Diceros bicornis minor: one gene and its partner. The protein of the gene in region 1 interacts with the protein of each later gene in a biochemical or structural test. Links are inferred from orthologs where the notes say so. Each region holds a gene or a part of one and is shown on either strand. Other genes may lie near its edges. The genes, in order: RNF14 and ubiquitin-conjugating enzyme E2 E2.

Region 1 (15,531 bases):
TTAAAACAGCCGAGGACAGTCTCCCTTAAGTCCAAAATGTATTTTTTTTAAAGGGCAGATTGAGGTTGGTGCTTGGAGGTCTTGCTCAACCTTGGGGTTGTTCACACTTGGGTCCTTGGCTATGGGAAGGGGCTGGGGCTGAGTGGGAGAGATGGGGGTCAGAGGATCTTCTCAAAATGCCTGGAGTCCTGAGGAACCTTGAGGGGTCACACCAGCAGGGTGGGACTCTGGCCCTTGGGAGACTCACAGGCCAGCTGGATGAAGGCTAAGATCATGCCTCACACTACGAATGTCCTGCTGGGCTGGCTGCCCACCCCCATGGCTCCTCATGAATCTGCCCAGCAGCTGCCACAGTCACCACCACCAAGGCAGCTTTGATGAAGCTGGGAAGCTTCATCTTCAGAATCATTCTGATTGAGAAGGTGACTGGACCACCCAAGGTCAGCCTCTTGTTTTTCAACAGGATATTGTTGAAGTTAGAGCCAGTCTGGCCAGGAATCTTGACTGGGAGACTCAGGTAGATGTTCTGGGTCATCTGCTCCTGGCATGGCACTTTGTTGGGATAGATGACAGAGGTCCACTCCCACACAATGTCTCCTCCTTCTGAGCCCAGTACAGAAAGAAGAATGCACTCTGCAGGGGGAAATTTGCCAAGAAATAGGACTTTTCAAGAAATGAAAAGGCTTTGTATCTTGCTTAAGAGTGGTAGCTCTCAAAATGGGCCAGATATCAGAATCACTTGGAAAGCTTTTCAAAATACCATGAACAGGGCGAGAAAAATCATACTTTTCCCTTTCCCAGCCTGCCAAAGGGAATTTCATAATTGCCAGCTCCATTTCTCCCCCTTTCAAAAAGCCTTCATCTTTCAGATCATTTGGGACAGGGATTGGGGAAGTTGATTGGACCTTTTTGCTGGAAAAAGAAGCTTAATTCATCTACATAATAAAAGGAAAAATAGATAGGGGAGAGGAACTGCTGAAAGTTCAGGAAATTATGGAGGGAGTGCTAAAGAACAGCAGGGGCTGGGAAGGAAGTAGGTTGAAGATAAGGACTTTCGAATGAATGGTTGTAACTATGGATCTCCTTCGCTTTTCAAGAAAAATGCTAGAAAATATTTAGAATTTATTTTGTGCTTTAGTAACCACATCAGGGCCCCAAAACTGGACTACATAAATTCTGAGTTGATAAGGGTTACTCATATATTATGCCTCTCTCCCCAACCCCCAGAGGAGAAGTAGGCTACTTCCAGAATGTAGATTTCAGTTTTGATATTCTGTAAGTCATTCTGACATGCACCCCATCTCCACCCCAACTTGCTGAGAACCACTGAGTTACAACGTCTTAGAAGCACCAGCAACTTTGTAAGGACCAAACTCTATAGCCATCAGGCCTTTCTTACTGAGCATCCTCCTGGTCCCTACTTTCCCCTGCGCCTGTGTCACTGCTCAGCAGAAGCTCTGTGCACACCTGGTCCCCCCTCCATACTTCTGCAGACTCTTCTGTCTGCTTCTCTGATTCCTCCTTTGGTTTTTCTTCCTTCTGACTCCCAGATGTGGGCCTGTCCCCAAGATACTGTCCTCAGCCCTCTTTTCTACATAGGGTTATTAGCCCAGAAATAGGTTGCCAGATTTAGCGAATAAAAATATAGGGCATGCAGTTAAATTTGAATTTCAGATAACCAATGGAAATTTTTTTAGTATAAGTATTTTTATCTGGCAAGCCTATTCAGAAGTAATGTATGCTCTCAACACAAGTTTCTTTTCTGTTTTCTTCTTTTTTTCGTTTTTGGTTTACACAGTGAATTTGAAAATCCATCAGCAAACACAAAAATCAAACATATTGACTGGGAGCATCATCTGTGCATGAATATTCAGAAGCTGACTATGTTGATTGGCCTTGTTATGTATTCATCATTTCTGGGTGACTCCAGAATTGAACTGTTCTCACACTGAAAGAACCACCCCGGAGGAAGCCGGGATCCCACTCATTCATTAATTTAGTCAGTCATCTTGTCATTCATTTATTTGGTGGAATTCAGCATGTTCTCTATTTACAAGGTCAATTTTTTTTTGGCAAGGGAAGTAGCTGAAGTTGACCCACATTTTCCCATCCTCTAAACCATTGGTTTGGTTTTCTTTCTTCACATGGAATCTAATGAACCTAATTCTCACCTTGCTTCAGAAAGGTTCTTGCAGGAAGGAGAATGAGTCTTCCCATCGTTACATAAATTCTCATGGGGCTTCCCTTCAGAAGTTTATGACAGCCAGGAGTTGAGCCTGGAGCTCAGGAGAAACAGCCACACACTGATTTATGATGGCAGCTGCTGCTAAATCTCACCCCTCTTTCCTTCTTACAGAGCCATGTTACCTTGGGGTTACAAAACTCTTTCCACTGTTATTCAGGGGAATAATAATAAAATGCCAGGTTGCAAGTATAAACATGATCATTCTGTGCCTATTATTGTAAATCAAATTTTACCTTGCATCAGAAGCACAGAAAACATTTTGTACTATCAGCCGTCTCAAGCCTTTTTAGGAATCTGTTTTTCTATAAACCTGGGATGGCCTAAGGTATTGTTTGCACTGCACTGACCAGGGAAGCTGATCGCGCAGGTGATCTGGCTATTTATCTTTACACACTCAACTGACCATTCTCCCTGAGCAAAGTGTTAACTTGATGTAAGCAAAGCATTGGAGTTAATGATGTGGGCTCAGGACTCCAATGGCCTGGGTTTAAAGTTTGGCTCTGAAATTTACCATCTGTGTGACAGTGGCAAGTCACTTAACTTCTCTGTGATCAGTTTCCTTAGCTTTAAAATAGGGATGCTGCTGCTGCTAGTACCTATGCCATAGGGTTGCTGTAAGGTTTAGCTTAGTCAATACACAGCATCTAGAGCAGGGCCTGGGATGTGGGTAGCACTCAGTGTTAGTTCTTGATAACCGTGCTTTTAGTGTAGTAGCTCCCAATTTCTTTTTTAGAATGAAGCCCCCATTTTAGAGAAAAACCAATTTTTCAGATTCCCGTGTGATGATAGTAAACCTTTTCGGGTCTACATGTTGAGCAAATACACAATGACAAGACACCAGTGGGAATTCAGTGATACTTCTATAGTATTGGGGTGGGGCTCACCACTTTCCAGTCTTATCCCAGAGTTGGGACAGGGCTTTCCCCTCCACACTGATGCCCCTCTGTGTGTCAAGGCTTGTTTCAGGGGTGCTTGTGAGTGGTGGCCATTGAAAAGGAGGCTGCCCCCACTGAGCAGGTGGGATGAGCTCAGCAAAGTTTCTGGACATCCATTGGACGCCAGCAACGGATGGGAAGAAGCGTAGGCACTGACGGAAGGCTTGCCAGTCCCTACAGTCACTACACATATTTTGTGACTCACTCTTGCTTCTCAACCCAATGGACTGGGTCCTGACCTCAGGTCTAGGTCACACATGCCACCCTCTCCTAGCCCTAGACTCCATCATCTAGTGTCCCTGGGGACAGGCAACTGATTTGGGTCTCTTTCTCTCTCTCTGTATGCTCATTCTCGCCTATCATTATGTCATAAACTTTATTCCTAACTTCCCTAGGGCTTTCTCTTTTAATTCTTAAGGCCAGAACTATTTTGTTCTCTCTGTATTTGTTACAACAAACTCTAATTCTCTTACAGGCTACAGGAGAGGGTCACACTGATGAGGAAATGGTCTTAATCCTGTCTGTCACCACTGTATGACACGGGTCAGATCACTTCTCCTCTTAGTGCCCCAATTTGCTCATCTGTAAAATGGGGATACAAAATTACCTCAGTCATGGGGTCCTGGGTATTCAAATGAGACAATGCATGTAAAGTTCTTAACACAGTAGAAGGCTGGGCACATGGGGAAAGCTCAATTTAAAAGACCATTCGGGCACACGATGGGGCCGGCCTGGTGGCGCATTGGTTAAGTGCGCACGCTCCGCTTTGGCGTCCTGAAGTCTCGCTGGTTCAGACCCTGGGCCCGCACCAACGCACCGCTCATCAAGCCATGCTGTGGCGGCATCCCATATAAAGTAGAGGAAGATGGGCACGGATGTTAGCCCAGGGCCCATCTTCCTCGGCAAAAAGAGGACGATTGGCATCAGATGTTAGCTCAGGGCGGGTCTTCCTCACAAAAAAAACAAAAAGACTATTCAGGCACGTGAAACCAAAGACATGAAAGTCTGTTATTTTTATGTAGTCAAAAAAATAAAAATTATTAGAAAACTCTCTTTATCCAATCCTGACCTCAAAACTTGTCTCTAAATATTGAGTCCGATTTGAACATTCATCCAAACTATTACCATTGCTTTGAAAGTCTCTCTTCTTTGCCCTCCATCCTGTGGCATCTGATATGAGGTCACGACATGATGTCACAATTCACCTCCTGCTCTGATTCTGTGAGAATTTCCCGAGCTAACTCTTAGGCTCCTCACTTTTTGCATCGGAAGGTCTCTGGCAGGACTCACGGTCTCACCTCTGAGCACTCTGAGGTAGGGCTGCCAGGCGTTTTGCTCTTGGTTTTATTTCTTTTGGCTAAACAAGAATAATGATATTAGTGAATGGCTTCAGAGATTCTTCTTCCTTCCTTTGCATTTTTAAGGAGTATGTTTCTGGTTTTGGTATCTATTACAGGGGTAGCTAGGTTTCTGTTCTGTGACAGTACAGAAAATTAGGAATGATTATTTATTTGCATTTCAAGGTTTTCCCTCTGTGGCAGCCAGGTAAGCACCTCTAGTGCCTCAGTTTACCCACTTGGTTTTTCTTATCTCCTGGGTGCAGGACCAGCTACATAATTTGCAGACCCCAGTGCAAAATGAAAACTCAGAGCCTCTTGTTCGAAAAGTATGAAGAATTTCAAGATGGCCATAGCAGAGCATTAAACCAAGAGCAGGGTCCTTCTAAGCCTGAAGCCCTCCTGAGCACAGGGTCCTGTGTGACTGCACAGGTGGCTGGCCCATGAAGCCAGTCCTGCCTGGGAGGCACTGGTGGTGAAAACTTTTAGAATCCTGTAGGCTTGGATTAGAGCCCTAGCTCCGCAGGTTGCTTTCCTGTGGGGAGAAGTATATGATAAGAAGGACACAGGAGCTTATTAGATCATTAGGGGCACATTAGTTTGAAGGTTCCCAGAAGCAGGAACCAACATTTCAGCATCCCGCTTAAGTGTTGAGAACAGTGCTTTGTACCTAAATTTTTTTTGAGATATAATTCACATATGATAAAATTCACCCTTTAAAAGTGTACAAGCCAGTGGTTTCTAGTATATTCACAAAATTGTGCAACCATCACCACTATTTAATACCACATTATTTCCATCCCTTAAAAGAAACTCCACACCTATTAGCAGTTACTTCCCATGCTCTCCTGCCTCAGCCTCTGGCTGTCTACTTTCTGTCCCTACGGATTTGTCTATTCTGGACATTTCATACAAATGGAATTATACAATATGTGGCCTTTTGTGTCTGACTTCTTTCACTTAGCATAACGTTTTCAAGGTCCATCCATGTTGTAGCATGCATCAATACTTCATTCCTTTTTATAGCTGAATAATATTCCACTGTATGGGTATTCCACATTTTGTTTATCCATTTATCCATTGATGGACGTTTGAGTTGTTTCCACCTTTTGGCTATTGTGAATATTGCTGCTTTGGTGTACATTTAGGTACACTATACATAAATAAATATATACAAATGTAAATATATACAAATGTACTTGTACATTTGTGTACAAGTTTTTGTTCAAACATATGTTTTCAATTCTTTTGGGTATGTACCTAGGAGTAGAATTGCTGGATCTTATTGTATCTCTATGTTTAACTTTTCGAGGAACTGTCAAACTGTCTTCCAAAGTGGCTACACCATTTTATATTCCCAGCGGTAGATGAGGGTTCCAATTTCTCCACAGCCTCACCAACATTTGTTATTATCTGTCTTTTATTATGGCCATCCTAGTGAGTGTGAAGTGGTTTCTCATTGTGGTTTAGATTTGCATTTCCCTGATGACTAAAGATGTTGAGCATCTTTTAATGTTCTTACTGACCTTGTATATCTCTTTTGGAGAAATGTCTATTCAGATCCTTTGCCCATTTTTAAATTGGGTTGTCTTTTTATTGTTGAGTTGCAGGAGTTCTTTATATATTTTGAATATTAGACCCTTGTCAGATACATGACTTGCAAATATTTTCTCCTGTTCTGTGAGTTGTCTTTTCACTTTCTTGATAGTGTCCTTTGAAGCACAAAATTTCTGATTTTGATGAATCCAATTTATCTTTTTTTTTTTTTTTTGCTGCTTATGCTTTTGGTGTGGTACCTAAGAAACTATTACCTAACCCAAGTTCACAAAGATTTACTTCTACATTTTCTTCTAAGAGCTTTATAGTTTTAGCTCTTACATTTAGGTCTTTGATCCATCTTGACTAATTTTTTGTATATGGCATGAGGTAGGGGGCATGTAATTTTAATTCCTGCTCAGCCTCTCAATAATCATGTGCCCTTCAGTAAGTTCTTGAACCTCTCTAAATTTCAACGTCCTCATTTGTAAAGTGGGGATAATAAATAGTATCTAAATCGTAAGGTTATAGTGAAGATAAAGAGAAAATGTACATAAAGCACTTAGCAAAGTGTTTGAAGCATCCTAACTGCTCCATAAACGTGGTAGTTATTACTATTACAGTATGAACAATGAGTGAATGCTTTCCTAGTGGAGGTGTCAGAAAGATGAGCAGCATTTCTGAGAAGGTAGTTGGGATGGCGGGAGGGAGAGGAGGCTTGCTTAGCCTACGTGGAGGAGCAGGTCTGGATTGTTAGGGGAGTGTCTGCCCCAGGTAGACCGCTGCCTCACGATCACCTCCAGGGATTGGTAAAAGTTCTAATTCCCGGGCCCTATCCCAAAACTACTGAAAGGAGGCCCCTGGGCACGGGGACCCAGAATCTGCATATGCATCAACTTCTCCAGAGGCATACTAAGACATGCAGGCAGCGGTGGGGGTGACGGTGGTCGCGCCCGCGGCGCCGCCTCGGCCAGCAGGGGGCGACCAAGGGACGGGGGCGGTCACGGCGGCTGCGCAGAGCCCTCCGATCCGCCCCGTTCAGCTGACAGCTCCGAAGGCGGAAGAGGCGGCGCGCAGGTGGAGCCGGGTGTCTGCAGGCTGGGCCAGAGTGGCGGTGAGGGAACCTGGGGCAAGGGCGGAACTTTCGGGCCCGGCACGGCCTAGTGGCCGGAAGGTACGGTGGGGACCGCGCTCCGGGCGCTCGAGGCAGAGAAGGGCGGCCGGGCCGGGACTGCTCCGTGGGCCTCAGCTCCCCAAACCCGGGACGGGGAGCCCCCAGCCCGGCCCGGCCGAGGTCCGCCGGGGCGCTCGGAGGAGGAAGGAGAAGGTCCAGGCCCTGCTCCTTCGGGACGCCCGGGGCCGCCCCTCGCGGCCGCACAGCGCCCTCTGTCCCAGCGCCGGGCAGGTTGCGAGGCTTGGGCCTGCCCCCCGGTTGTAGGTGAGTCGCACAAACAACGACTCGGCCCGCGGGGTGGCGAGCAGTGGAGACACCGGCGGCAGTGCGGATCCCGAAGCCACGGCTGACTCCGAGGCTGAAGTCCGAAGGGTGTGCCTTGGGGGCATGAGTAGGATTTTTCCCAGGCCGGAGGGAGACCCGGCGGAGGAGGGGCTTCCCTCACTCGGGTAGCGGTTTCCGGTTTGCCAGAACTGATATTAAACTTAATATCTCTCGTCCAATGGCGCCGGGTTTATTCTAGTTCCTGTGTTACAGATGAAGAAACAGGGTGGTCTGAATCCAGCTTTAGTTAAATATTAGCTGGGTGACCTTGGGCCAGAAAGGGAGTTAAATTGTCATTTCTCATCGGTGTCATGGAAGTAGTAATACGACTTGCTTCCTGGGGTTGTGGGACTCGAACAGGAGTTAATGCATTTAAAGGGCTTAGCACAATGCCTGACACACGGTAAGAGCTCACTGTTACTGTTCGTGCTGTTATTGTGACGACCGACGTCTCCTGCTTCTAGTGGGATGTAGCAGAGCAGCAACTGAACCTTGTAATTCTGGTCCCCCATTTCAGCACACTGCATCTCACCCCAAAAATTAGAAATAAGTTCTCATTTTTTCCAGTGTCTAATGCAAGGCAGTGCTAGATGCTGAGAACAATACACAGATGCAAAAGACTTGATCCTCGCCCTTAAGGAACTAATGTAGTCTGGAAGGAGAGGAAGTACAAGTTCTTAAACTACTGTAATGCGAGGTGGGATGTGAATGTCATAGGAAAGTTACAGTAAAAAAGTTTGTGGGATGTTTAGAGAAAAACGAGGTCTAATTGGAAATTTCTACAAGGAATAGGGGCTTTGGAGGTGGGTCTTGAAGGCTGAGTGGATAGAATCAGAAGGAAATGTAGGTCAGCATCATGAATTAAGGGGTTGGGACCCAGTGGCAGCTTCAGAAGCTGGGGTCTGGTGGGGTAGGGCATGAGGAGCTGTTGACGGGAAACACTGCTGGAGTAGAGCTTGTCAATCCTGGCGGTGCTTTAGAATCACCTGGAGAGCTTGGATAGGTGCTGATGCTTGATTTCATTGCTCTAAAGTACAGCCTGGGTATTGAAATTTTAAAAAGCAGCTCCTCAGGTGATTCTAATGTGCAGACAAGATGGAGAACACTAACCTCCAGAAACTTTATAAATTCATCTCTCACCCCACTTATGAATGTTTAAACAGGAAGAAACAAAAAGCTTGTGTTATCACCATGTACTATGCCTGGTAAGATTGTTAAGATTAAATAAGGTAATGTGAAAGGACCTAAATACAGTACATAGTAGGTGCTCAATAAATGTAAATTGAGTCTGTATTTCATTCTTAGCTCATTTGGGAGTCACACATCTGGGAATCTGGTTTAAAAATTATGGTTTCACATAATATTTTTGCATACAATTTCAGGGTGTTCATAGGATTCTCCATAACCCATCTATGGACCACCCACCCCATCCCCCTCACTCCCAGTGAAGAAGCCTGCCTCTAAAGCCTTTAGAATAGAACTTAAAAGTTTGTGTGTGTGTTGTGCAAGTGCTTTTGTTGTTTTGTTTTGTTTTGAAGTATACTGCTAATAGGCGAGAGGGAAAACTGGAGGGGGATAGGAAATGAAGGAGTAGAAGAAGCAGAAGAGGAAAGGAGGAAAAAAACAACCCAAGATGATGTTTGTTTTGGGGCACAGTGTGCTGTCCTCTCATATGAGCTTGGTGTTCCTCCTAAGCTCCTCCCAGGGCTGAAGGCAGTCAGATAAGAAGGCCTCTCATTGCTGGGGACCTGCAGATGCCTCTATAACCACGTGGCTCAGTTGGGCTGTCCTAGGACAGTAATATGCAGCTGTAGATTAGCATTGACTGTGTGTTAGGATGTGTTTAAGTGTGATAATGGAAATTCAGAATTTAAATTTGGAGAGGGTCCTAACACCATCTTTTGTATTTTTTTTCTGCAGATGGCAAGATTTCTATAGTATATCTAGTATGAGTTCCACATCTTGGCCTCTTATCCACCTTCAGCAATCTCATCTCCACCGCCTGGAGAATAAATGGGATTTCCATGAATTCCAAATTCTGAACTGAAATACAGACTACAGTGTTAATATCCTTTTCTTCTAGTTGTTATTAACAGGTACTAACTGACCTCGAATAGAACCTGTCACTGTGTTCTATTTGGGATAGGGATGCAGCTTAAGCTGAACCATTATCATCTGCTGACAAAAATTGTTTTTTGAAAATGGAATCATTTTAAATGAATTTGTCTAAATTTTGTAGTGTCACCTTTTATAATGTGAAAAACTGTGTCCTAACTTTTCAATTTTACACATTTCAATTAAAAAAAATATTTTAGTCAAGTGGGAGCATATTTGCAAGTGCAATTATAGCCCAATATTTTAATTGACAGAGTGGTAATTTTTTGTTGTTGTTTTATTAAAGTAATTTTTTATAGATTCTCATTACATATTTTTTCCATATTTAAATTATCTGAAATTACAGTGCATCTTTCAGTTGCTGTGATTAAAAAGCACTGATTCAGGGCCAGCCCCGTGGCGTAGTGGTTAAGTTCCCATGCTCTGCTTTGGTGGCCTGGGGTTCACGGGTTCAGATCCCAGGCACGGACATACACACCTCTCATCAAGCCATGCTGTGGCAGTGTCCTACATACAAAATAGAGGAGGATTGGCACAGATATTAGCTCAGGGACAATCTTCCTCACCAAAAAAAAAAAAAAAGCATTGATTCACACTTTAATTGTAGCATATTTTTATTCTTAGCATTCCCCAAAATAACGGTAAATCTTAAAATTGATTTGATAAAATCCGGTGGTATTTCAAAAATTTAATGTTATTTTGCTGCTTCCTCCGTAGTCTAACTGTCTTAAATAGTATCTGTCCCTGTAACATTCTCTAGAACAGGGTGTTCTCAATGGGGAGCAATTTTATGTCCCCCCACCTCCACCCCATGAGGGAGGGGAGATTTGGCTATGTCTGGAGATATTATTGATTGTCACAACTCTTGAGGGAAAGATACCCTATTGGCATCTAGTAGGTTGAAGCCAGGGATGCTGTTACATATACTAAAATGCACAAGACAGCCTCCCACAACAAAGAATTGTTTGTTCCAAAATGTCAGTAGTGCTGAGGTAGAGAAAACCTGCCCTAGAGATTCCTGTGGATTTTTAAAATTCATTTGTTTTTAAGAAGTGTATCAAATATACTTTCACTCCTTTTGTGGGCAAGGCACTTTGCTAGGTTTAGTGGGCAAGTCAAAGTAATATGTGATTTGTCCTGTTTTTAAAAAATGTTTTTAATTTTGCTTTTTTTCCCCTAAACAGCTATACCTAACTGCTCAAGTCAGCAATTAGAAGCACCACAACCATCCTTTTTGAAAAAGCTGTTACTATTGCAAAGCTACTGTAATATTAGATATGCCTGTCATTTTTAGTTTAGCAGAAAAGTGAGAATATTGATTAATCCTTTGTAGTTGTTTGTGAGGAAAAATTTTTTTCTTTTTTGGTGCCACTAGACTTTTCCAAACTGTGCCTTTTCTGTTCTTAACTGATTGAAATGATTGTCTTCAGCTCCTCAGAAAGTTAAATGTCGTCAGAAGACCGAGAAGCTCAGGAGGATGAATTGCTGGCCCTGGCGAGTATTTATGATGGAGATGAATTTAGAAAAGCAGAATCTGTCCAAGGTGGAGAAACCAGGATCTATTTGGACTTGCCACAAAATTTCAAGATATTTGTGAGCGGTTAGTTAATAATATTCTCTTAAACAGATTTTTCTAAATAAAGGTTATTCTCAATTTCTTAGTGTATGCTAAATTATTTGTCATCTTGTGTTTATATGCATTAGTGATAGATGGTAGTATTACAGATTTAATGCATGTTTCTGTTTTAATTGAAAATTGGACTGGGGGATAAACAGTTTTCAGTATGATTTGGCTTTTTGACCACTGAATTTGGATATTATCCTGCATATTTCATGCATCCTAATCGTCTTCTAACTAGCAGTTCATTAGCCATGAGTCATTGGCTATTAAATAGGGATAATAAAAGAGAAAACGAAATAATATATGTGAAAACACTTGGAAAGCTTTCAAGTACCGTGGTGGTTGTTAATAGTATTTGGTTTCCAGAATCATTTCAGCTACCACAAACACATAACGTGCTGTTACTCTGTGACCTTTTCCTTCAGAAAAAAACAAAAAACTGCCACTTTTGATACAAATGTTCACAGAAGACTGATGCACACTTTCTCAAAATGTTTCTGCTATAAAGGCATTGAGTAAGGAAAGTAAGTGTGATCATTTAAAATGAAACTTTGATTTTGAAAGTGTTGTGTGTTGTATCTTGCCCTCAATCCTGAGATCATTGTGTTGACACAGATTCTCCCAGCTATGATTCATGGGTAGTTGGCACATACTGGTCTAAGTAGGTCATGGCACTTTGATAGAAATAAACATCCTTTTCTCTGGATTGTGTCTTTAATCATCTACTATAAAACAACAACAACAGAAAACATTGTGTATTACTTGCTCATTAGTGTTAGGAATTGTACTCAAAAGTGTATACAAAGGTAAGTTGTGTATCTTCATTATAAATTTCATGGTGCTTAGTAGATTTTTCAAAGGCTTACAAGATTTTTTTTAAGCTGGTGGCTACAAAATTAAAATTAGAGAATAGAAAGGGCTTTGGGGGAGGGTTTTTATCCCCTCAACTAAAGCATTAAGTCTCTCTTGAGCACTGCTCAACAGTAATGGACACTCAAGTGTTGACCAGCTGATCCTTTCTCATCTTTGTTTTTGGTTCAGGCAATTCAAATGAGTGTCTCCCGAATAGTGGCTTTGAATACACCATTTGCTTTCTGCCTCCACTTGTGCTGAACTTTGAACTGCCACCAGATTATCCATCCTCCTCCCCACCTTCATTCACACTTAGTGGCAAATGGCTGTCACCAACTCAGGTTAGACCCGAAACTAATTTCTCCTATCCATTTTTAAAAACTTAAAAAATCATCTTTAATTGAAGACTAGCTTGGTGATCTTGAATTCAGTGCATGAAGAACAAATTGCTTTGATTTTGTAATTTTTTTCCCTTCATGAATCCTAATGTTAATGAATTGAAAATGTGTTTTAGAAAGGAATGGCAATAATTAGAATGATTAATCATTATGAATTGCAGTAGGAGTAATTTTTAATCAAGTATATTGTTTCTTACCATTTTCCCATTTAATCTGTATTATAATGGAGACTATAGGGTCGTCCTCATTTTTCTTAGATGTTGGTATTACTTTTTTTTCCTTAGTTTCTTATCCATTCCTCAAGTGAAAGATTTAATTGTAATTAGGAGGACTAAAATTGAGCTAATGTGGTTATAATAATTTCCTAAGTAAAATACAATTTTTAAGTAAACATAATAAGTGCTTTTATTTTTAAAGATCTGTATATGTTAATAACAGTAACTGTTGACTGGTCTTACACAGATATAAATGCACACAATAGAAATATGTGTGATTCTTGTAGATATCTCATGAAAGCTTGAGACCTTATATTATAAACCGTCATTTCCTCCGAGTTATATATTCTTTTCTAGTAACAACCTCAACTCTTGATTGAGACATAAATATAACTTGAATATAAATTATTATTCTGCAATAGATAATGGATCAATAGTAGCTGCTTTCCAGGAAGTCATGATGAAGATTGATAGGCTGATGTATATTAAGACAAAAGCTGTCAGTTACTTGACCTCAAGGAACAGCTTGTCAGTTTTTCCTTTTTGATCATGTAGTTTTCATTCTCCTCCCCCAGTCCAGTAATTTAGATGAGAGTGCTTTTGTAAAATTGAGCTTATGATTTAAAAACAAAATTAAACTTTAAAAGAGGATAATACAAGTAGAGTAAAAAGGAATATTACCTTACATTCTAATATCTGTGCCAGAGGCAAGACATACAAGATAGTGCATTATTTGCCCAAAATTATCAAGGCTGCTTGACATTTAGATCATCGAGAGTTGCCTGAATTATTTAGATATTTATAGTCCCCTTTCTCCAGAGAGCTGTTGATACTTTATGTCCATGGATATGTGCAAACACACACATACATGCACAAAACAAAGACGGATTAACTGGGTGTGTGGTTGCAGTTTCAGATTCCAGGCAAATAGCATCTACTTACTGCTAGCTTTTGGGGGGTATGAGGAGAGGAGAGGTGTTTATTATTTTATGTGTTACATTTCATCATTTGTGAAATTACAGTAGGATTCTTTATCAAATAAATTTGTGTACATATAATTGACATTTTAATTGGTCTTTTATGTTCCTTCTTGGTTCAATTCTCGTTTGTTGCTGGGCCCTGAGTCCTTGGCATTATGAATTTCACCTGTTGATGATAAAGTTGCTACATGGACCTGTCTTTCACTGAATTGGGATTGGTAGATAGAAGGGAAGTGGGTTTAGTTTTCTAGTATTTTCCATTATTTCTCCCCCAATATATATACATACACAGTCTCTCTCTTGCTCTTTTCCTCTTTCTCTTTCCCCTTCGCTCACATTTATGTGCATCCCAGCTGCCTCTTTTGAAAAGGGGCTGGAGAAGAAAAGAGGGAGGAGAATGACTTTTTCATTGGACTTCATGGCTCAAACAGCACTCAGAACTTCCATTTTAGTATTTATTACATTTTACAGATTTCAGCAGGTTTCTCAGAAGCATGGTTGATCTTATCAGCATATTCATGCAAGTGTGAAAAAGGTGTCCAGTCTTGAACTGTTTAACACAATAAGTGTTTAAGTTTGTGTCCATGTAGGATTTAGTGAACAGTACTATGCAGAGCAAGGGGCAGAAAAGGTGGTCTTTTTTCACTTATTTAAAATTTACAAAATTTGTTGGCCTCTGGAAGGCTTATTTTTTATATTTACCTAAAAAGAAAAGCTGCTTATAATTCCTGAGCTCTACTTACAAATATTTTACATTTCTAGTGGAAAATCTTCTTATATTTGTCTTTCAAATTGAACAGACCACTTTTAAGGAGGAAAAGTTGCAATAGTTTAAACTTTGGTTGCTTAGCTTAGGAAATATGAGCTTTCCCTGTGGCTGCCAAACCACGTTGAAGGTTTGTAATCATGACCAGATTCAATGTCAGCCTGTCTCCATTGACCAGGATCTGGTCTAAGCCCAGATTGCTTGTTAAGCCCAGCTTCTAAATGTGAATAATAAGGACTCTGAGGTTGGATTCTGTTAGTGATTCTTTCCCATGAATTGGCTTTTTGATAGGACTGAAAGTTAGAATTAATTTTAAAATTTGGATGGTATTTTTTAACTGTTCTCTTTCTAAGCATTATTGCAGGGTACCTACAGAGTTAGAACTCCAAAGGAACAGAAATAGTTCATTTTAGAACTAGGTCCCTTTCTCCTACATGAGATATATAGCAATACTGAAACAAAGAACAAATAAAGAACAGAAAGAATCCTCCATTTCAGTAGCTCACATGTAAACCTAGTTCTGCATCTTGTGGAGTCTTGCCATTTCTCTTGTTTTCATGGTACTTCTCTTAGCTTCTGACTTTGTGTTCTGCTGTGGCTGGTGTTGCTGAATAGTTTAAGAAGTGCTCTGATAAGAATATTGGTGCTTTTTTGCCCCACAGTTTATCACAGCAGTAAAACATTTTGTTAGGAAGTGTAATGGCCTAACTTACAAGTTAAAAAGATTTCAAGAGGAATCAAGAGTTCACCGCATCATCATCTTTCCAAACTCACCAGCATCCTCATGTGTTTTTTCCTAGCTATCTGCTCTCTGCAAACACTTAGACAACCTGTGGGAAGAACACCGTGGCAGCGTGGTCCTGTTTGCCTGGATGCAGTTTCTTAAGGAAGAGACCCTAGCATACCTGAATATTGTCTCTCCTTTTGAGCTCAAGATGGGTTCTCAGAAAAAAGTGCAGAGAAGGACAGCTCAAGCCTCTCCCAACACAGAGCTAGATTTTGGAGGAGCTGCTGGATCTGATTTAGATCAAGA
Region 2 (15,491 bases), on another chromosome or scaffold:
CAATTTTTATTACTCATTCAATGCTAATTATAAATTTTGAGAGTCAAATTGAGAATAAATTATATACACATTATATAAAGATATTGACACACACACATCATCTGTATCAATTAGTACTCTCCAACTCATGAGTTAAGAAGCAGCTTGTGAGTGTCGTTGGCAAAGTGACGCTGAGGACAGATGGAGGAGAGAGCGTAAGTCTGCCCTTCACTCTGAACAAGCAGAGAGAGAACACTATTTAGCTCTTCCATCTGAACTTTCCTTAGAGGTGCACAACTTCTTAGGGATGTAGTTTTGGAACATGTTAGGTGAAAAAAGAAGCCAACTCTTTGAATTCTTATGTCTTCTTCAGAGCCTCCTTCAGTGGGCCTCTTTCTCTTACCTTTAAAAGAGAGAAATGATAGGAATTAATAAGAAACCTAATACTCTACTCATTCGAACTTTAAACCTCTGAAGAAGAACTCAGGCATTTGTTTTGATTCTCTGAGGCCAGTCTAACGAAAGTTGGGCACAGCATCGGATTGAATGTATCAACTATTAAGCAAATGCAAATGAAAGAATTAGGGGCAGGATATCAGCTATAATCAAAAGCACAAAGCTTAAGGGCCAGCCCGGTGGCAAAGCGGTTAAGTGCACGTGCTCCGCTGCTGGCGGCCCGGGTTTGGATCCTGGGCGTGCACTGACACACTGCTTGTCAAGCCATGCTGTGGTGGCATCCCATATAAAGTAGAGGAAGATGGGCACGGATGTTAGCCCAGAGCCAGTCTTCCTTAGCAAAAAGAGGAGGACTGGCAGATGTTAGCTAAGGGCTGATCTTCCTCACACACACACAAAAAAGCACAAAGCTTATTTATTTTTTTTGTGAGGAAGATCAGCCCTCAGCTAACATCCATGTCAATCCTCCTCTTTTTGCTGAGGAAGACTGGCTCTGAGCTAAGATCTATTGCCAATCCTCCTCCTTTTTTTCCCCCAAAGCCCCAGTAGATAGTTGTATGTCATAGTTACACATCCTTCTAGTTGCTATATGTGGGATGCGGCCTCAGCATGGCCGGAGAAGCCTGCGTCGGTGTGCGCCTGGGATCCGAACCCGGGCCGCCAGTAGTGGAGTGGGCACACTTAACTGCTAAGCCACGGGGCCAGCCCTAAAAAAGCACAAAGCTTATAACCTAGGTTAAAGTGGAGACGGTGAGCAATAGCATGAGTGAAGGAGGTCATCCAAGTTAGCAAGTCCAAGGCAGATGGACGAACACAAGTCTAGTGTCAAACTATATTCATGAATGTGGAGTTCTGATGACAAAGAGGCAAAGGGAGTGTGCAGCTATGGAGATGCAGGGCTTGGATCACTCTTCAAGAAAGAACTTGCCTATCAGATGTGAGGAGATCAATTAGCAGACAGCTTCCAGCTACAAATGCCTTCAGGACCCATCTTACCTTTTGAGCCAAGGACATGCTCTTCCTGGGGAGTCTCAACAAATGACTAAGTATGACGGACGCACTAGGATCTGGCCATTTCTGCCCAATGTGGGACCGCTTTAGGGGCAGTCTTTGCACTGGAGCTTTTTGTTAGGCTGGACAAGACTGCACTAGAGCTGTGCTGCCATCTGAGGCTCTTCCTACTCAATCCTCCTTCATTCCTCTCTCCTTTCACAGGTGTCAAACCTGCATTGTAGCCTGAAGGATTTCCCTGCCTACTCCTGCTCCCCTTTCCTTTTTTCTTTCATAGATACATAGATAAATCTCTTGCACTTCTAACTTCATCTTGGTGTCTGCATCCTGGAAGACTCAACTGATACAGGGGAGATGCCAGTGTCCCAGGACACAACCTGAATAGGGCCAGACTAGTAAGATAAATCACCAACTGGGGGCCTTGACACTTGGCTTCTCTGATGATGCTACCTTTTCATTTGACCCTGGTGTGACTACTAATCCCAGGGAGCCCAAACAAATTGTTTACCTACAGGGTCCTCACAGTAAGCCCCGGTCAACAGAAAAATATAACAGAATAGATAGAAAGTGAAGTAGAGCAGAAGAGTCTTTATTCTTCTCCATTCACAAAAATTGTGCCCTCCCACGAATATGCAAATATACTAAAAACGTTTGAATTACACATTTTAAATTGGTGAATTGTATGGTCAGTGAATTATATCTTGATAAAGGTATATTAAAAAATTGTGCATTTCCAAGTACAGAAGGGAGTACTAAGATGACTGGAGAGAAAAATAAAAGCAGTAAGATAAAGACAACAAATAGTATCTTTTTTCATTGTGGCCATATATAAGGAGATTTCACAATTTTTCTTCATGGAATCTTCAGAGAGGGCCAGAGGGTTCATAAAGCTCTGGAAAATATTCATTAATATATTTCCTGAATTTATAAGAAAGAGTAAAGAGTATTCTTTGAAACGGTTTTGAAATGAACGACATGGAACAATTACACCTACCTCCCAAAGTTCCATAATTTGGGGAAATAGCAGTTGAAAAGCAGGGATATTCGTTAATTTGACCAACCCTTATGGGGTGCCTACTCTTTAAATTGTAGACACACAGATAAATAAGCTTGGTCTCTGCCCTTGAGTATCTCACAGCAAACTAGGGGACATATGCTTTTAAATAGTACAGGATGCAGGAGACATGCTGCTGTGACTGACCGGGAGACTATGTGCAAGAAAAAGTGGCAAACTCAGGTGAGATAAAACCCAGACTTGAGGGTGACATGACCTCCCACTTATCAAAGCACTAGGAAGACTAGTAGCTCACACTTCTATGACATTCGTTTTATTTCAAGCTCTAAGTTGCTTACATATATTAACTCATTTAATCTTCTCTCTTCCCTTATGTAAGTATTAGCCATTAAAATAAGCCTCATTAGTAGACAAGGAATCTGAGTCAGTGAGAAGTTAAGTAACTTGTCCATGATCACAGCAAGGAAGAAGCAGAGCCAGGATTATGAATCGAGATAGCCCAGTTCTGAAGCATCTTTGTACCGCCTAAGAAAGGTGTAAATTAGGGCAAGACTTTCCCTCCTTTTGACTTTGTTTGTTTCCTTCTGAGGTTCCCTAAGTTTAAAATATCTTTATTTATTGTACTAATAACAATATAACAACTATAACAAAGAAAACCTTACCTACAATCTCATTGCTCAGCAAAGCTCTGACTCTTACATGTCATTACTCTTTCCTCTGTTCTGACAGTCTTTTTCAGAGCAGATTCTTCCTTTCTTACTTCTATTGTGTCTAAAGATGACGCCTCTGAACCACTTCTGTTTTTTTCCATTCCTGGCCTACGCTCTCTCTTCAGACCCTTTACCCATATCTCAGCATCTACTGAAGCCCCTCTGTATTTCTGGGAAGTTGGTTGCAATAGCCCATTTCAGTATGAGTGGGACTCCTTGCCTGTAGGAACTACCACAGCAGTAGCATCCCTGATATGTAGCCGCCTGGAGGAGGGAACTTCATCATTAGAGAGCAGAAAGCACGTGTATTCATTATCAATTGCTGCATAACAAATTACCCTCAAACCTTAGTGGCTGAAAACAACAAACATTTTTATCTCAAGGTTCAAGAGTGGCTTAGCTGGGTGTTTGTGGCTCAGGGTCTTTCATGAAGTTGCACTGCAGATGTTGAGCAGGGTTGCATCATCTGAAGGCTTGGCTAAAGCAGAAGGATCTGAGCCTGAGCTCACTCACGTGGATGTCAGTGGGAGACTTGTTTCTAGCCACATGGGCCTCTCTGTAGGGCTGCTCACAATACGGCAGCTAGCTTCTCCCAGAGTGAATGATGAGAGAGAGAGAGAGAGAGTAAGAGAGAGAATGAGAGCCAACAACCAAGATGGAAGCCCTAATGTCTCTTATAAACTAATCTCGGAAGTGATGTACTATCACTTTTCAGCATTCTACCAACCCTGGTATGATGTGGAAGGGTACTACACAAGAGTGTGAATACCAGGGGGCAGGGATCACTGGGGCCATCTTAGAGACTGACTACCATGCTTGGGCAGGGGCTAGGGGTGGGAGAAGCAGCCAAACTTCTGTGTTTGCATCTTAATTTATGTGAATGGTGCCCCCTGACATTTTGCAGTGTGCAACATATACAATCGTGGCTCAGGTGGCAGTCCCTGACCAAGTGGGGAAGTCAGGGGGATTTGTCCCCAGCACTCTTCCACTCCCTGTTAGGAATTCATCCATTTATTCATTTATGCAACAAACATTTGTCCAACACCTGGTGCATGCCTCTGTGTTGGTATTATGCTAAGTAACGAGGTCCTAGGGTCTAAGCTTTAATGGAGCTTCACTTTTGCCACATCAGTGTTGTCCTTCTTAAGTATCCAAGACATTCAGAGTGACCACGGGGTGCCTATAGCCCCTTTCAAACCAGGCTGTAAGCAAAAGATGATTCTCTTCCATCCCATTCTCTCAGGGTCCTAATCTTTGGTAAACTTAAGCTAATATGATATTTCTTCCAGGGGGTACAATCCAAATATTTAACAACCCCTGATTACTGGGTGCCTAATAAGAATGGAAGCTGCCTAAACAAGCAACAGCTCTGCCAGTATGATGCGTTTTGCTGAAATCCAGCAGTTACTCCCAGACAGGTCTTTTCTATCACTCTTCTAGTCAAACTGGAAAACTAATTGTGACTCTATCTACTCATGAAGTTGGCAGTAACGAAAGTTATAAGAAGGGCCCTCCAAAAAACATTCCCATTTGCCAATTCTAGTGGAAAAAAGGTAGGCTCTAAATTAAAGCCCAGAAATAAGAAGTGTAGGAGAGAGTGAGTTCATGATGACAGATTGATGGACCAGGGCAGGAAATACAAGGAAGGTGAGCTACTTGTTTTGGAGACCAAGTTTGAGTCTCAGGGGAAAGGAACTGAGAAAATCAAGTAAAATCTATGTTTGTAACACTGGACTCATGTTAAAGTGTCCTGAAGTTCACAGACTCCAGAGTCTAACTGCTGATTTCAAATCCCAGCTCTGTTATTCCCTAGCTGTATGACTGCGGCCTAGTGACTGAATTTCTCTGCACCTCAGTGATCTCATCTGTACAGTAGGGTTGACTGAATAAAACCAACCTTATGGGGTATTTGTGAGCTAATTTATGTAAAGTGCTGGAACTTAGTCTGGTACAAATTAAGAACACAGTAAGTGCTAATTACTGTTATTGAAGAAATCAGAACAATGTCTAACATGCCATCAACTGAAAGAGGTCAATTTCATTCACTTAACCAGTATTCATTCAATATATACAACAATGAACCCCAGCCAACAAAATCCTTGTTCTCAAGGTGCTTATATGTGGAGGAGGTGGGAGGGAGGAGGAGGGGAGAAGGGGAAGACTAAAATAAATAAGTAAAAAAAACACTATGTCAGATTTATTATGATGATCATGAAGAAAAATAAAGCAGAAGAGGGGGATAGGAAGTGCTGGGCGAGGGGTAGGAGGGAAGAATGTTCTAGAGATAGGAAATTATAAATCTTGAGGCCAAGGAATATTTGATGTGTTCCATAATAGCAAGGAGGCTAGTGTGGCTGGAGGGAGATGAGGATGGGGTGAAGTTGTACAATGTGAGGCAGAGAGGTCTTGGTTGGGGGTGGCAGGCAGATCATATAGGGCCATGCAGCCATTGTAAGAACTCTGGCTGTTGCTCTAGGATGGGAAGCCACTGGAGGTTTTGAGAAGAGAAGAGACCTATGTTTTAAAGGATCACTCAGATTGTCATGTGTGGGGATGGGGGGTGTGGTGGTAGGGGGAGTGGATAGGGAAAGTAGAAAGACCAGGTAGGAGGCTATTATTGAAAGATGATGGTGGCTTGGACCAGATTAGCTATGGGAAGGGAGGTGGGAAGAAGCAGATACTTTCAGGATATATTTTTGAAGGCAGAGTCAACAGGATTTGCTGATGAATTGGATGTAGCTTGTAAAACAAAGAGCAGGGTCAAAGATAGGGAAGCTCTGTGAGGACAGGGATTTTTCTCTTTAATGTCATATCCCAACCACCTAGACAGCACCTGGTACTCAATAAATATTCCGTGAATCAATGAAAAGGGTAACTCTGATTTGTAGTATACCCTTCTTAAACTTAGTAAGTAGTATACAGCAGTTAAAACATCTACAGGTAAATGAAGTACTGTAGCAACCAGTTTCAGCATTTAAGCAGGGAAACCTCCTCCAATCCTTCCATAAAGTTGGAAGCTGACATTGCTGCATTCCTGGCCCCCAGCTACCAATGACCAGGACTAAAAAACAACTTTGATACTTTCTGTAATAGAAGAGAATTTTGTTATAAAATACTAATTGTAAACAAACAAAAACCAACTGGATATATACCTAAGAGTATACATAAGAGTAGTTTATTTGGAGAAAAGCATAGAGACTTAGGAAATGAGGATTCTGTCATCCACCCTCACCAAACAGTTGCAAAACACACTGAAACATAATCAGTAAAATGAAAATATTAATATATAAAGGTTTCATGCGATAAATTATGCACACATTTAAGGCAGTCTATGAAATGCTCTAGTTTGGTCATATTCTAAAAATTAAAAAGCAAACATATAAGATGCATTTTATGTCATCTTTTCCTACTAATATATTGCACTACATGAGAGATATAGGTGACTATCTAATTGATGATAATCCTAGGATATGGTAATTTCTATTCCTCCAATATATATTTTAGAGTTTAAAGGTAACACGGCCTGTTGATATCCTTGAGTGATACATAGAAGTGATACACAAGAAAACATCCACTTTTTGCTCAATGGTGATTAATGGAGGCTAGAAACCAACACCTGCTTTTGGCAATTTTCAGGGATGTTATAAAGTAATAGTCAATTTTTGTAGACGGCATTTGGTAAAAGGATCTTCACGTCTAGACATATGAATGGATCTTGACTTGCTCCTGTCCTCTGGGGTCTTATTGCACTATCTTTAGCTGCCTGAGTTGCTCTGGGCTCTGTGGGGCTGTCTTCAGTTCCGTCTGGGCAGGACACCTTCTCCACATACAGTAACAGCTCCTGAGTTTTTATATAGTAGAGGTTTAGGAGCAGCAGTAGCAGTCACTTGGTAAGAGGGGCTGGGTTGGAGACGGAGGAGGGGAAATTATGTGGAAGCTGAGTTTGTATAGCAGGCATAATGTTTTGTTTTTTAATGGTTACTTGGGGTGAAGATTATAGGGGAACCTAATGTTCCCTCGGGTCACCCACAGCACTGCTGTTTCCATACCCTTCAACCGGGCAGTAAGGCAAATTCCCACTCGCTCTGATACTGCTGCTACCCCCTCCCCCCACCTCTCTCCCCAGTATCCCAGCGATAAAGGGCCTGGAGCTCCAGCTCCCGGCTACTAGTGTACATTCTGGGTCAGGGCAAGCCAAAAGGCAGCAAGACATTCGTGTTGCCGTGTCAGGTGAAGAGTCTGGCTCAGCCTGGAGAGCTTTCCAGGCCAATGCGAAGTTTTCCCATCTTGGGTGCATGTGGGCACCACGCGTCGAGTTTTGGTTAGTATGTCAACAGGGTCAGACCCTGTCCCTGTAGCTGCTTCGGGAAAGCTGTGAGGCAAGTGTGAGGCCAAGGGCCGCAGTAGATGGGGGTAATACGCCGTCCCCTGCTTGGTCTTAGGGCAACACCCACCCCCAGCCAGCATTTCCCTTTAATGCGCGTGCCCGTCAAGGTCCCCGCGTCCCCTCCCCTCAAGCTGCCCCGTCAGTCTCTGTTTCCCTCACCTCTCCCGGTCCCTGCCGTTCTTTCTCCGTGGGATGCTCCGCGCCCCCCCGCGCCCGCTCTCGGGACTCGGCTGTCACTTTACTTTTCCGCGCCTCCTCCCCGCCCCCTCGCCCGGCCGGCGGGGCAGCCCGCCCGTGCGCGCGCCCGCCCCCGCCCCCTCGCGGCCGCGCGCGGGGAGGGGGAGGGGCGGAGCGGGTGGGGGGGCAGGGAGGCGCGCGGCGCGGCACGGCCGACGTGGGGCTCGCGCTCTCGCGGTCTCTCCCGAGCGGGCGCGCGCGCGGACGGCCGGGCGGCGGCAGCGGCTCACGGAGGCGGTGGCTTCACTTTCCAGGACTGAGGGGCGGCCACACCGGCAGCCGCGAGCAGCAGCCTCGGGAGCCGGAGCTGGAACGGCCGGGGGCGGCGGCGGCGGCGCTGAGGGTGAGTCCGGGCGGGCGCGAGCGCGGCGGGGACAGGCGTGGCCGGGCGGTCCGGTGCGTGGTGCGTGGGTCCGGCTCTCGGTGACTAGACGGTCTGCGGGGGCACCCCGTCTTCTGGGCTTCCTCAGCCGCCCTCCCCCCGCCTCCGCAGCCCTCTCTCCGCGCACTTGGGCTCGAGCCCGCGACCTGCGCGGACGCCCCTCCCTCAGGTATTCGCCCGGGCCGCGCTGGTGCCCGCCCTCGGGCGTCCTCCCTGTCGCGGGCGCGCCCCCCACCTCCCCTCCACGTCGCAGGTCTCTGCTTACACTGCTTGCGCCCTAGTTACCTCCCTCCCCGCTCCCCCGCGTACCCCATTCCCTGCGCCCCCTCCCACGAGCCTCCTGCCCCGGTTTCTCGCCCTTTCCACCCCTCCCCCTCCTTCCCATCCACCCCCTTCTGCCTCTTCCCTCCCTGCCCATCTTCTACCCCCTTCCGTTCTCAGTTCCCCATCCTCCGCCACCCTCCCAGCCCTTTCCCTCTCCCAGCCGCATTCTGGAACTAAGTCTTCGCAAAAGTACAGGATAAATGTCACGGTGGAAAGTGCCCGGCTTGATCTTTTGCTATTTTCCCTAATTGCATAATTGCTGCACATGGTGTCTCTCCTGGCGAGTGCCGGGTCTGGCTATCCCGCCGCCGCTGCACCGCCGTGGGCCGCCTGGAGGAGACCCTGTGGGGTGTGTTTGTGTATGCCCTGGTGTGGAGTGTGTGTTCTGTTTGTCTTTTGTGAAGCCTAGCGCTTGTCACAGTTTGGAGCTGAAGCCCATTTTTCTCTGGTCTCTTCTCTGCAGCCCCCACTGGCCTGGTTTGAAACTGGATTCCCTCTGTCACCCCCCCCCGCCCCCCCTCCAGGTCTCATAATGTTTTGATCCTTTTGCCCTTTACCATTTCTAATGAAGATAAAGCGTAGCTTCTTGTGGCTTTTTTTCCCCACGACCAACCAGAAATGTCCAATCCATCTTCCCTTAAGGAAATTAAGGCCGCTTTAGAAAGACATCATCCTGTGCTCCGTGGCTGTTAGACCTATTTGCATGTTTTCAAGATTCGTGGTTTTGTGTTGTGTATTCTTGAGAGTCTACGCAAATATTTTTATTTAAAAGTACGAAAGGAAGTGCTAGGTTTACCTTCAGATTATCTCGTGCTTAGTTTTTTATCCCTGATTCTTTAAAAAGTATGTTTCTGAATATGTAATAATTCAGTCTGGACCTTGGAATCTAAATATTTGTGTTTACTCAGTTTGGATGCGCCTTGGTTCTTTAGAGTTTTGTATGTGGGCTGATGCTGATGATGGAGTGTTTCCATGTATTGTCGTACCCCATTCTAATTCCTCCAGGACATAGCACCTTTTCCTCAAAAATTGGGTGTTTCACTGTTACTTCCTGCATAAATATCTTTACAGTTAAGAGCTTAATATTGCTAGATGTTGTGCATATAATATAAATTATTTTATTTTCCGTTTTAGAAAAGTTTAGAAACGTAAGAAGACAAATAGGAAGATATCAAATGACAGAATTAAGCGTTTTCCTGTTGTAAAAGCTCAAATGAACACTTGCTTTTGCAGTTTTATACCATGAGATACAGATTTAAGGCTTATCTCGACTGTAATTCAGATTTATGGAGTGACTATAGTTGGTTTTATGTTATCAGTAATATTTATAACCAAATTATTTTTATGGAACATGTGAGTTTCATTCACTATGTATATGTTGCTAATTTCCAGGACTGTACTTAGAACATAGAGTATATAGCTAATATAGCCTTAGATAATTTGTGTGTTGAAGAAGGAACAATATCTAAATACTTAAAATAACACATGTTTGAGGTAAGTCTACCTTACTGTTTTATGTTTAGAAACCAAGTTTTACTTTGAGTCTAAAGTAAAAATATAAATTTAAATATCTTAATATCTTTGAAACTGTCATAATCGAAGTGTAGCTCTATGTTTATAACCCTGGGATTTAAGTTTATCTTCCCTCTAGCTTGCATGATTGGATCAAATTAGCTATTTAGAAATTAAAGATAATTTTAAAATACTGATTTTTAAAATACTGATTTAGGAGATAACATTTAAGGAGTTTTAATTCAGGAATTTTTATTCATTTGTACTTTAGAAAGACAAAACACCAATTTTATACTTATAACTAATTAAAATGCTCCTAGACTACTTTTTTCTTCATAAACATTAGTTGCCAACTGAGTGGTGCAATAGTTTTTTTCTCATACTTTTTTCTGTAGTTAGGCATTCAAAAAACAAAACTAGAAGAAATTTGCCTTAATCTTGATATTTGAAAAAAATATGAAAACTTTGTTTCTAAAAGTTTCTATAGTGGTTATTAGTGGCCTCAGATGAATTTATCATCTATAAGTTAAGATTTGGATGAAATAAAGTATCTTAGATCAAAAGTGGAAATAGATTTTTTTCTTTGTTGTGAAACTGTAGAAATTATACCTTTATTTGGGTATTTTTAATAGTATTTTTAATAGTTTTGTAGTGAGACTAATTTTAGTCTGATATTCTGGAGCAGTTGATGAAATTTGGGTTTCACATTATGGCTCACATTACATCATTGAGTAGTCCTTTAAGTAATTATACACTCATGGCAGTATTAGTATGTAAGTGATAAGAATATTAAGAATGTGTAGCTTTATAACTAATGTGATATACAACTGAAACTCTAGGCAGTTTATTAAACTGAAGCCCCAGCTTTAGTAACAAAGAATTTTATTTCATTTAGATTTCCATATATTTGTCGTGTAATGTATTGCTTCTGGTTTAAGATGTATAAAATAATTTCTCACTTATTTCACGTTTCTTAAAATATTGCCGGCAGCATTTTGCTATATCAGAGGGCCTTTCCCTGAGAATTGTTCTTTTTCTCACTCCCATGCGCATCTGTTCTTTCTAACATGCTCTTATGTGCATACTTATAAGGCTTTAAACTTCTGATATATTTTATCTGAAAGAAGTAAGCTGAAGAAAAAATCAGTGTTAAATCCAAAGATGAGAATTAAAGTGAAATAAAAATGAAAAAAAAGCAAGAAATATGTTAGAACTGTTAGAGTTAGATGTGAAACATACTGATATAAAATTTCAGTATTCTATTAAGTGACTTTAGTGCTCATAAAAGATGTCACAGCTGTGGAGACTGATGCTCTCCATTTGCAGGATAGGTAGAAAAGCAGTCAGATTTTCCTGTCAGTGTGTTTCAGAATTGCTTGGGCAGAGCTATTTTTGTTTGGCATGGGGGAAGGGAGCTGTTGGGGTTGAGAGGGGTGGTGGTGGTGTGTTTGGGTGATGTCTCATTGAAGGCATTTGGTATTTTCTATTGACTCTTCCCCTTTCTGTGCTTCCTGATTCTTCCCTTCCCTTGCAATGCTTTTTGGTTTGTCTTACATAAAAATTTCAATCTATTACAGGTCTGTATTATGAAATCGCTTTGATTTAGAGCAAGGTACAAGTTAAATCTTTGGTGATGACGAATTTTCATTATTGTCAAGTAGCTATACGTTTGGACTAATTACAGTAATAAAAAACAGTGCTTTATTTGAGGTATCTTTCTTTTACATATTCTTACTCTTGATCATAGCAAATACAGTTTTATTTCAAGTCTTAATTTGATTAAGAGTAATATAGTATCTTTTTCAAAAGGAATTTATTCCATTTATCTATGATTTTTAAAGATATATTTTGTGTTGTTAATGTCACTTCTTAAAGGTAGTTTTGTTTTTTAATGAAGAGGAACCTGAGATCATCGCTATACGGTGCTCAAAGAGGTTATTAGGTGACAGTAACGTGGTGAGCACAAGGCCCTTTAGAATCTGGGTTTTGTCAGTTTGGTTTTGGATTTGTCAGTACACTTTAAGCTAGTTGGATCATAAGGGCTGTGTTCATAGTAATCAAACTCAGAAATCGGTTATGATAGAATGACAGTTAAGAGGGGATATCCTTTTTCACTTACTTTAATTTTTTGTGTCTGCTCTCTAGGTTTTTACAGCTACCTATGTATCAAGGTATTGAGGAAATTGAGTTTGTAATCAGAGCTGCTTGGGGAGCATGAACTCAGAGCAAAGGGAGTTTGAAAGCCTTAAGGGATATTTCATCCAGACTGTGGGAAGGAAAAAAAAAAGAATCTTTCAGTGTCTCAATACAGTCTCCATCTCGTGTGAAACATGGTTGTTTGGTATATTGCTGGATCAATGCTGACACCATCATACAGTTCAGTTTTTATTTAGAATCATGCGGGCCTCTGTGTTCTTCTGTTATCACAAAGGATACTTAAAACAGTTGACTAGTATTTAGAGGATTTTAACCTTAGCTCTGTCCTGAGGGTTTATTCATTGGATATGGATGTGAAAGTGTCTCCCATTTCTCTGTCCTTGTGGCTGTTTTTGCTAACCTCTGTTAGAGCACTTAGCACAGTTGGCTTACCCACTAGACCAAGTTTCTCATGCTTGTGGGACCAAAGGGCCTACCTCAGTGTCTGGTAGGGCGTAAGCCCTCAATTTTTTTTTGTTGAGAAAGCTTTATTGACATGTAATTTATATACTATAAAATTCACCCTTGGAAAGTGTGTAACTCAATGGTTTCTAGAATATTCAGAGTTGTGCAAAACATCACCATTATCTAATTTAAGAACATTTTCATCACCCCAAAACGAAACTCTATACCTATGAACAGGCCTTGCCCGTTCTTCCCTCACTCTTAGCCCTTGGCAACCACTTATTCACTTTTCTTTCTCTGGATTTGCCTATTCTGGACATTTCATGTAAATGGAATCGTACAGTTTGTGGTCCTTTGTGACTGCCTAGTTTTACTTAGCATAATGTTTTCAAAGTTCAACCTTGTTGTAGCATGTAGATACTGTACTTCATTCTTGTATATGGCTGAATGATATTCCATTGTGTGGATACATCATCTGTTAGTGAACATTTGAGTTGTTTCTTCTTTTTGGCTCTATGAATAATGTTGCTGTGAACGTTCTGTCTATATATTTTGTATGTTTTCATTTCTCCTCTCAGTACATTTTGAATGGATGAAAGAAAAGTTTTGACAACTTACAAAGCTGTTTTGTAAATGATAAACTTATTCATTTTATATTAGCTTTACTTGTTCCACTTTGAGGCTCACTTTCTCTATATTCTCAAGGTACCTTATTATAGTCCTCCCATAACTGAATAAATGATTTTTGATTCTTTAATCCAGGATCTAAAATGTCCACTGAGGCACAAAGAGTTGATGACAGTCCAAGTACTAGTGGAGGAAGTTCTGATGGAGACCAACGTGAAAGTGTTCAGCAAGAACCAGAAAGAGAGCAAGTTCAGCCCAAGAAAAAGGAGGGAAAAATATCCAGCAAAACAGCTGCTAAATTGTCAACTAGTGCTAAAAGGTACCTTAATTATTGTAACCTTTTTATTTGTAGTATCACTTTATTGTCTTAAGTTCTGTCTTTCTGTTGCATTTACTCATTTTTCTGGTATGTGGACCATGAAGTTCATGGATTTTTCTTTCTCCTTCAATATTAATTCTTTTACATGGTTTTAATTGTAGGCAATATGAACTTTTTGGTATTTAAAATCAGTTAAACAGCGTGGCAGCCAGCCTTCGTGGTCTAGTGGTTAAGATTCGGCGTTCTCACCGCCAGGGGCGAGGTTCATTTCCTAGTCAGGGAGCCACGATCTGTTGGTTGTCATACTGTGGCGGCTGCGTGTTGCTGTGATGCTGAAAGCTATGCCACTGGTATTTCAAATACCAGCAGGGTCACCAATAGTGGACAGGTTTCAGCGGCGCTTCCAGACTAAGACAGACTAGGAAGAAGGACCTGGCCATCCACTTTTGAAAAGATTGGCCATGAAAACCCTGTGAATAGCAGCAGAACTTTTGTCTGATAATAGGATGGTGCAAAAAAACCTGGCAGGGTTCTGCTCTGCTGCACCCAGAGTCAGAATTGACTCGAGGGCGCAAACGAAAACAACTTGGCAGATGCACAAAATACATATCCATATTGTGTTTGTGTGTGTTTGTGTATTCTTAGGTGAGCATATACAAGAAAACACATGTGAAAGTGTGGTGGTCTGATTTATAGTTACTTGACCATAAATATTTTATTCTGTTCAGTAACAGAATAGAGAGTAGGAATCTATTGAAATAGATTACTGAAATAGTTATTGAGTAATAGTATATTTTCTACTACTCCCTGTTAGTAAAGTGAGAAATGCTGGAGTTAGCAACTAATGCATCCTGGGTTCGTTATATTAGGCAGTGGGTCAGTCTTGATACAGATTTTCTTTTTCTTTAGAGAATAGATAGATCTGGAAGGTAGATATTTGGATGATTCTCTTGCCACATCAATTGCTTATGCTGATAGGCGTGTTATTGGACTCAGCAGGGGAATCTGCTTTAATATTGTTAACTTATAGAATATCTCTTGGAAAATAATTTAAAGGTAAATTAAACTTAGTAGCGTCTTTCCTGATCCTGTGATTTGATCTTCTTATTTTGTTTTAATACCTTTTTTATATCAAATAGGTAGTGTAAATAAAAACAGTCTGTAAATTTTAGGCATAGTCAAATGTCTGAATGTTGACTGATAGCTTTATATTTTATTGGATAGTGTCAATTAGGGGGAATTCCTTTCCTGAAGATCAAAAACCGTTATGGTCAGTAGACCTTGTTTTCCTCTGGTCTAGTCAATCCACAGGTTTGGGAAGAACCTTCGCAGGCCCACTGGTGGCATGTGACTTTCTAGGGAGAGATGTTGGAGTGACGGTGAGTGGTCAGCAATCCATTCCAAGGGACTAGGGTAGTCGGTTTCCCTTTCCCAGAAGTGTGTTGCTGATCCCTGACCTCTGTTGAAGGAGTTGTGTGAAAGTCAGATAGCCGCGAACTTTAAACCTTTAAACTTCTATACTAGAACATGCTTGTGTGGGGAAAAGGGTTCAGTTTGTTTTTGCTATCACATCACAAGTCCAGAGGGCCTAAGCTGGCTGACCTGGCCCCTCTGCTGCCTGCTACAACACAAAATGACCTGCTGCTGGGAAGTGGGGGTGGAGATAGGATGAATAAGAAAGGTGGGAATGGAGAGAAAAGGGCCATTGAGATGAAAGAAAGGAGGTTGGGGGTGGGTGGGTAAGAGAGATTCAAGTACAGATTGTGGCCCTATGTAAATGAGGAAATTCTAATTCAGTCCTCAGCTTCTGATAGTGAGGGTTTTCACAGGGCCTCTTCAGCTTGTCAGAAAAGAGAGAGGAGGGGCTGGCCAGGTGTGTAGGAGTGGGGTTTGGAGAGAGCTTCTCCTGGATCTGCGCTCTGCTTTCCTGT

What was found.
Region 2: the proteins of RNF14 (region 1) and ubiquitin-conjugating enzyme E2 E2 form a complex in vitro, tested with the Homo sapiens proteins (2 studies listed by BioGRID). The link is inferred for Diceros bicornis minor from reciprocal best matches to the Homo sapiens genes RNF14 and UBE2E2.

The regions. Positions count from the first base shown.
Region 1 is NC_080740.1:60,074,543-60,090,073, forward strand, and holds the start of RNF14 (E3 ubiquitin-protein ligase RNF14), read left to right. Parts: upstream 1-7,132; 5' UTR 7,133-7,167; exon of another isoform or gene 7,168-7,227; intron 7,228-7,234; exon of another isoform or gene 7,235-7,491; intron 7,492-9,471; 5' UTR 9,472-9,647; intron 9,648-11,096; 5' UTR 11,097-11,112; coding exon 11,113-11,266; intron 11,267-12,328; coding exon 12,329-12,480; intron 12,481-15,298; coding exon 15,299-15,531. UniProt on the Homo sapiens protein: E3 ubiquitin-protein ligase that plays a key role in the RNF14-RNF25 translation quality control pathway, a pathway that takes place when a ribosome has stalled during translation, and which promotes ubiquitination and degradation of translation factors on stalled ribosomes.
Region 2 is NC_080741.1:28,440,714-28,456,204, forward strand, and holds the start of ubiquitin-conjugating enzyme E2 E2, read left to right. Parts: upstream 1-8,057; 5' UTR 8,058-8,138; intron 8,139-8,785; exon of another isoform or gene 8,786-8,850; intron 8,851-13,376; 5' UTR 13,377-13,384; coding exon 13,385-13,560; intron 13,561-15,491.